Cricetulus griseus: one gene and its partner. The protein of the gene in region 2 interacts with the protein of the main gene of each other region in a pairwise test. Links are inferred from orthologs where the notes say so. Each region holds a gene or a part of one and is shown on either strand. Other genes may lie near its edges.

Evidence for each region.
Region 1: the proteins of Amot (region 2) and Ptpa interact in binary tests that used the Homo sapiens proteins (3 or more experiments, as listed by UniProt). The two-hybrid records come from large-scale screens. The link is inferred for Cricetulus griseus from reciprocal best matches to the Homo sapiens genes AMOT and PTPA.

Annotation. Positions count from the first base shown.
Region 1 is NC_048599.1:142,100,839-142,104,655, reverse strand, and holds part of Ptpa (serine/threonine-protein phosphatase 2A activator), read right to left. Parts: intron 3,648-3,817; coding exon 3,522-3,647; intron 1-3,521. UniProt on the Homo sapiens protein: PPIases accelerate the folding of proteins. It catalyzes the cis-trans isomerization of proline imidic peptide bonds in oligopeptides. Acts as a regulatory subunit for serine/threonine-protein phosphatase 2A (PP2A).
Region 2 is NC_048604.1:35,457,366-35,461,182, reverse strand, and holds part of Amot (angiomotin), read right to left. Parts: intron 3,230-3,817; coding exon 2,779-3,229; intron 1-2,778.

The DNA of each region.
Region 1 (3,817 bases), on a different chromosome or scaffold from region 2:
ATGAGCAGCACAAACATGCATTTCTAACTTCCATTCCTCCCATTCCCAACTCAAAGGAAACAAGATCTGTACATCAATACAGTGGGCTCAGGCTCTTTGTCTGCTCATCTGAGTCTGTAACCCAGACAAGCTGAAAACCCAGCTCCTGAAACTGTGGGTAGAGGTAGCTGAATGTCAGGGTGGCAACAGCATCAACAGTCAGAGTTAATAAAAAATCAACTGCAGGCCGGGTGTTGGTGGAGCACGCTTTTAATCCCAGCACTCAGGAGGCAGAGGCAGGCGGATCTGAGTTCGAGGCCAGCCTGGTCTCCAGAGTGAGTGCCAGGATAGGCTCCAAAGCTACACAGAGAAACCCGGTCTCGGAGGAAAAATAAAAAATAAAAATAAAGATCAACTGCATTTTTGAGTCTAAGGTGTTGCTGGCAATGCTCTCCTCTGCTGCAACACACGCCACTTCGGCCTTGGTTCTGAGCACACGGCATGCACCTGGGCACTGTGAGTGCTGTCATGCATGCCACCACACCACACAATACCAATGAGCCCTGACTGACACACCCAGGCTCACATGCTGGCAACTGCAGAGCTTTCTCTGCACAGTGTTCTCTAATAGAAATATAATGGCTTGCCAGGTGGAGGCAATGCACACCTTTAATCCCAGCACTGGAGAGGCAGAGGCAGGCAGATCTCTGGGAATTCAAGGCCAGCCTGGTCTACAAAGTGAGTTCTAGGATAGCCAGCATTACACACACACACAAAAAAAAAAACAAAAACAAAATCAAAATCAAAGAAAACTACAGAAAATAAAGACCTCTAATGTCCCTGTTGTCACTCCTCAGCATAAATCAAGTTAATGTATCTCTAGATTGCACTGTGTGTGTTTGCCTTGAGTGCATTTATGGATATCACATGCATGCAGTGCCCTTGGAGTCCAGAAGGGGGAGTTGGATACACTAAAACTGCAGTTGCGGGTAGTCGTGAGCAACCCAGTGTTACTAGAATCAAAAGTAAGTGTGTGTGTGTGTGTGTGTGTGTGTGTGTGTGTTTTCGAGGCAGGGTTTCTCTGTGGCATGTATGTATGTATGTATGTATGTATGTATGTATGTATGTATGTATAGAGAGAGACAGACAGAGACAGAGACAGAGACAGAGAGAGATATGCTATGGGGAAAACAGACTCATGGATACAGAACAAGGATAACCAGTTGCAAAGTCCTTCTCCCCAAGGGAAACAGGAACTGGCCACATGCTGCTTCAAGCTGCCTGACCCAGTATTCTCAACTCAAGAGAGAACTCCTATCTCTCTCCTTTTAAGAGATAACATTGAAAGCCAGGATAGGATCCAAAGCTACACAGAGAAACCCTGTCTCGAAAAACCAAGAGAGAGAGAGAGAGAGAGAGAGAGAGAGAGAGAGAGAGAGAGAGAGAGAGAGAGACAGAGAGATAACATCTACAGACAAGAAGCCATGCCCTAAGGCTGCTACTCCAAAGTTTTTGGCAGAATAAATTCCCACAACAACCCAGTGTAGGTGCTAGGGAACTGAACACAGGTTCTCTGCAACAGTAGCCTTTAATCCCAGCGCTCAGTAGGCAGACAAAGGAGGATCTGTTTGAGTTTGAGGCCAGCCTGCTACAAAGCAAGTTCCAGGACAGCCCAGATTAACTAGAAAGGCTCTGTCTCAAAAATAGTTAACAACATGCTCTTAATGCAGAACCATCTCTCCAGCCACAGAGAATACCTGATTTTAAAAACTGCAATTTAGCTGGGCATTGGTGGCGCACACCTTTAATCCCAGCACTCGGGAAGCAGAGGCAGGTGAACTCTGTGAGTTCGAGACCAGCCTGGTCTACAAGAGCTAGTTCCAGGACAGCCTCCAAAGCCACAGAGAAACCCTGTCTTGAAAAAACAAAAAACAAAAAAATAAATAAAATAAAAAACAAAAACTGCAATTTGAGTTATCAACCTGAATTTCATTTTAAAAAAAAAAAGGAGAATGAATTCTGGCTTTGGATTAAAACAATTTCCAATTATTTCAGTTTGCTTCTTCTCTGTTACTGTCAATATACACCATGACCAAAAGAACAGAAACTGGTACCAGGAATGGATGTTGAATCAATGGAAATGACCATGTTTTATTGGAAGACTGTGGAAGTGTTAGGAACATTGAGCTGGAAAAGACATCGAGTCCTCAGAGCTTAATAGGCTGTTCTGTAGGAAGAATGTTGAGAAAAATGCAGACAGTGGAAGCCCGGCTTGTGAAGTTTCACAAAGAAGCAGATTCTACAGAGGCTATTCATGTGATGGTTTCTGGTCATCCGGTGCTGAAAAATTGATTGTGGTTGATATGAGATCAGCATCATTGAGAACTGTTCTGGGAAATACTTCACCAGACAAACTGTGTAGACAAGCTGTGGTCTGGGCAAGGCTGCATCTCTAGCTGGAAGCTGAGCTGAGTAATGTGTAAAAGTCTCCACCTGGAATGATTTTGAAGGTATGAGAAGTCATAGAAGAGAGAAACTGAGGCTTGACATCAAGGTCAGAGTCCCTAAGACAAGGCTGGAGTGTGGGGGCTGTTAGTGATGGTGCAGCCTTCATTGCAGTGGAAACCACAGGACAGTGCAAGTGCAAGCAAGGTGCAAGGAGTGGAGTAGAGCCAACTTGAGCCTACATACAAGACAAGCTATGTGTGCTGCAGACAGAAGAGTTGGAGACACAAGGATGCCCAAACCCTTTGGACCCTAGAAGATCACGTGTAAATTCCAGATGTAAGAAGCTAAGTTTTGTTTTGTTTTGTTTTGGGGGGACAGGGTTTGAGACAGGTTTCTCTGGAGCTTCGGAGCCTGTCCTGGAGCTCGCTCTGTAGACCAGGCTGGCCTCGAACTCAGAGATCTGCCTGCCTCTGCCTCCCCAGTGCTAGGATTAAAGGCCTGCACCATCACCACCCGGCTTTGTTTTGGTTTTTTAAAGATTAGGGTCTCACTATGTAACTGTGGCTGGCTTGGAACTTGTATAGATCAGGCTGGTCTCAAATTTACAGAATCCACTTGCTTCTGCCACCCAAGATTCAAGGGTGTATGCCCCTGCCCAACTTTTCCTTTTTCTTTTGGTAGGGAGTTTTTTCCAATTGCCTCTGCCTTCCAAGTAATGGAATTAAAGGTGTGTGTTACTACCACCTGGCTTCCTTATTCCTTTTCAGAGCTGCACAGTACTTTACAGTATGGACGGTCTAGTATAGTTAACCTGTCCTCTTATGATGTATACCTGAGTCATTTCCAATCTGCTGCTAATAAAATGACTTAATAAGCAGCCTCATACAGGTGTAGCCACACCTGCAGTTCCCAGAAGACAGGCTGGGACAGAGGATGATTTTGTAATTTAGGTAAATAAAACTGCCATTCTAACAAATTACCCGATTTTATGCTTGGGAGCTAGACAGGCTTGCTTTGAACACAGACCTTGACCCATATGGAGCCATAGTAGTCCTCCCACTGGCCTGGCCCAGCCTGTGCTCTGACAGTCTCACCTGATCAAGTTTGGCATACCAGGTCCTATAGGCCTTGTTCCCAAACCGGGAAGGCTGGTCTACCGGCGGGGTTTCATCAATCCACCTATCCAGCGTATTAAGAAGAGCCACCAGCTTCTCAATGGCCTGTGAAGGTGAGACAGAAGAACCACATCAGTGACTGGCGGCCCGGTTGGAGCCACAGAAGGAAATCTCAGTTGCTGTGGAAGGTAGCCCCCCTAGGCTGGCCTAGCTGTCACCCTCATTCCCAACTGTCCTCAATATAAGGGATGGTCAGGGAGCAACCTTCCCTTCAG
Region 2 (3,817 bases):
GAAGAAAGCCAAAGGTTCCTGTCCAGAATTAGCCAGAATCAGGAAGAAAACAAGAAATCAGACTCCAGAGGTTTTCTGTGACCAGTACAGCTCCAGTGCACGTGTAATGACCTCGGCGATTATTTGCATATAATTTGTATAAGACAAATAAACCCCATGGCCTATTAAGCAATTTTCAAATTAAGTCTTCCTCCTGTAACCACCCTGCATTTCTTCTCAGTTTGCCACTCTTCTTGAACAAAGCTCAGGGTGTGTTAGGGGGTGAAATAAACAAGCGCCCAATGGAGGATGGGGGAGGAGACACAGCGCAGTTACAATCAACTCCCATTCCAGCTGCCCCCATCTTCAAAATCCTGCTGGAGACAGGACTGCCTGCAAACAAATGAGGCTTACAGCACTGAAAAGAGCAGACTTGAGAGTGTTGTTCTCCTTGCAGATGGCACCCAGATAGCAGCACAGAAGGTGAAAACTGGTGAATGGCATTTAGAGACAAGATCTGCAGGGCTTGTGCCTGATGAGGCTTTTGCATGAAATTCAAGTGCTGGAGAGGAGAAAAATAAACATTTCCATTTGAAAGAGCAGGCTTGGTGTTGGTCTGCAAGAGTCAGCCAAGAGCAAGTGAGGGAGGCTTCCTGCTTACAGCCCAGAAGCCTCACCTAGACGACAGTCCCTTTTCTCCAAGTGCACAGCCTGCTTGGGAAGGATCTGGTGTTGCTAATCCTTCCCCTCTCCCTTGTGGAGATACTGTCCTCTTGCAAAGAGCCATGCAACAAGGCCTTCTCAGAAAGGCCAATAAAGGCAGATTCACTGACTCGGTGTGGGTGATGGAAGAGGTGAAACAGAGGGAGAGTGGCAGGGGTGGGGGTGGGGTGGGTTGGGAGTTAGGGCTTGCTAATTCTACTTTCTGTCCTCAGGAGCCTCCAGTGCTCGCTTGCTCTCCCGCTCTCTCTCTCTCTCTCTCTCTCACTCTCTCTCTCTCTCTCTCTCTCTCTCTCTCTCTCTCGTCTCTCCCTTTTTCTTTTTCTTTCTGTCTGTCCTCCTTTCTTCCTCTGTTTCTTTTTCTCCTTCCTTCCCTTCCCCCTTCCCCCTTCCCCCTTCCTCCTACCTTCCTTCTTTCTAGCTCTACCATCTACTTTCATTTTCTTCTCCCCTCCTGTCACCTTTTGTGAACCCCAGCATTGGCTTGGAACTGTTTCTGCAGACGCGCAAGCCATAATTGTCATTTTCTGACATACATCTGCACAAGGACCAAACAATAAACAAAATTCCGATTTTGCTCCCTGCACTAGTCACCCAACCCAGCTCCAAGTGTCACCAGAGATCATTGACAAAGAAGATCTGAGCTCAGTAACCAGTGATTATGTCAAAGATGAGGCCAGGCCAACCCAAATTAAAAGTTAGGGGAGGTCTAATCAGCTAAACAGGGTTTCTAGTCAATACACAAAATTCATGTACATGTACACCATTAATGCAATAAGGGGTATTTTCAAACTGACAAGAAAACATAAAATCAAGACAAAGTAATAGCTCTCAATCCATCATAACCTTCAACTGGATTTGAGGAAATTGAGAAAGGGGGCATTTTTTTTTTCACTATATAAAAACCACTTAACTATGGAAAATTAGCCCTCTTCTCTTTTAGGTAAAAGATCTGGTGTTGGCAAGTTCTCAGCTTCATGCAGGCCCCTGAAATTTCCACTCTTATGTCTTAGGGACAGAGTAGGGCAACTGTCCTTCCCTCCCCGCCTTCAGCCTCGAACTTCCTTAACAGTTTGCAAGGAGATCATGCCACATGAACTCTGCATGGCCAAAAGCTACAAAGAAGCTAACAAATGCATAATTCTATTTACTAATAGCCACTAAGGCAAGAACTGAGATTTGGGCTTTGAGGCCCTCAAAAACTAAAGTCCCAGCTACAGCAGACAGTGGGGGTAAGGGGAAGAAGAAGGAATGGGAATTTGGGACACACATTCCTTTTTCTATTTCCTCTGCCTAGGGCTGTCACCTGTCACCCAGCTGTGGTGCTAAATCCCTTTTGTGCACCCCCCCCCAGACACACACACACACACACAGACACACACACACCAGAGAAGGAGCAGATGTTGAAGTGGATCTGTGGAGAAAGACCAAAGCAAACGTGGGGAAGAGGGCTAGTGTCAAAGAATTATGAAGAAAACTACCACAAGGAAGAACACTGTCAGTCTCTTCCTGAACCATACAAAATCTCAGCTGGTGGGATTTTTTTCTCGATTCAAAATCATATGGGGAAAATATAAACAAGACAAAAAGCGTTTAAATGCTGGCGGGCTTTCCATGAGCACAGACCTACTAATACTCATTATTAAGAAGTATATCTGCTGACTTTTTGACTAGGACAATGAACTAAGTTTTCTTAAGAGTTATAGAGTTTGGAACATCTGTAGTATTTTTCTTTTAGTATAAATGTAACATGTTACTTCTCTTAAAGAAAGGGGGAGACAAAAGACGGAAGTGAGAGTGACCCTGATGAAAGTACATGATATGCATGTGTGAAAATTTTATCATGAAATCCATTATTTTGTATCATTAATGTATGATAATAAAAACAGTAAAAGGCAGTTATCTTAGGCAGATAAAGCTTTTTTTCTAAAGTTTGACCAACATCAAAAAAAGAATGTCAAAGATCTACCCGTAAGAGATAGTAAGCACACACAGATGAAACATTTTTTAACGGGTATTTAACAACTCCCACTAGAATGATTCAAAGAAGTCTCTATTGACCCTTAAGGGGAGCCGTACCTTCTGTAGTCTCGCCACCTTCTCATAGCATGCATCCAACTCCTGCCGCAAGTTCCGATTCTCATCAGAGAGGATCTCAACCATCTGCTGAGCTCTAGAGACGATGGCAAAAGGATCAGCTGGCATGGGCTGATAAGAAGCAGACTGCTGAGCCCGAGGCATAGCTGAGTAGGCTTCTCCTGGCTGCTGCTGTGCTGTTGGAGGAGGCAACGTGGACTGGGAGAGACGATAGTGGTCCCCCTGGTGACTCTGATTAGGAAGAAAATGCTGCTGCTGCCTTGGCAGGTGAGTAGAATGGTCACCTTGGTTTGAGACCAAGGCGTGTTGAGCAGGAGACAATCTGGTAGATGGTGGAGACTGCAGCAAGGAACTCCCAGATGTAGAGGAAGATGTCGGGCTGTGAGGCTGAGAATTCCTTGCTGCCAAAGACAGCGAGATGTCCTGTGTTGTCCTGAGAAAACACAGAAGGCAAGCTCTGGTTAAGTTTGCTCCCAAGGCACATGAAATAACACAAGGAGATATCCCCCAAATTCAGAGAAGTGAGAAGGAAGAAGAATTAGATCCCCATGAAAGAACTCTAGAGTTCATTCTTACCGAGACATTTTGTGACTCTGTCCAACAGCTACTACTGCTCACTAGCTATGATCCCCTTGGAGATGAAACCAGATAACCTCTGAGGTAAGTATGAAAACCTTAAGATGGCTATCTCCACCTTCATTGCTCAGTCGTTTAAAATTCCTCTTGTACAAAGTAATGCTCATGGCATGACTGAAAACTGAACCTGTCTGTAAAAAACTCTACGTATGCAAAGACTTCAGTTTGGAAAATGTGTTTGCTTGGTTACCGAAAACAGACATCCAGTTGCCTTTCATCTTACTTTGTGTGACTACCTTTGAGAATTTATGCCCTCAAGAATTACTCAAAGATACAAAGACATTTATTAGATTTAAGACACCAAGTAATTATTGCCCATTCCAGTTATCAATTTAATAATACACATTAAGAAGCAATATGGGGGGGGAGAAGATACAGGCAACAC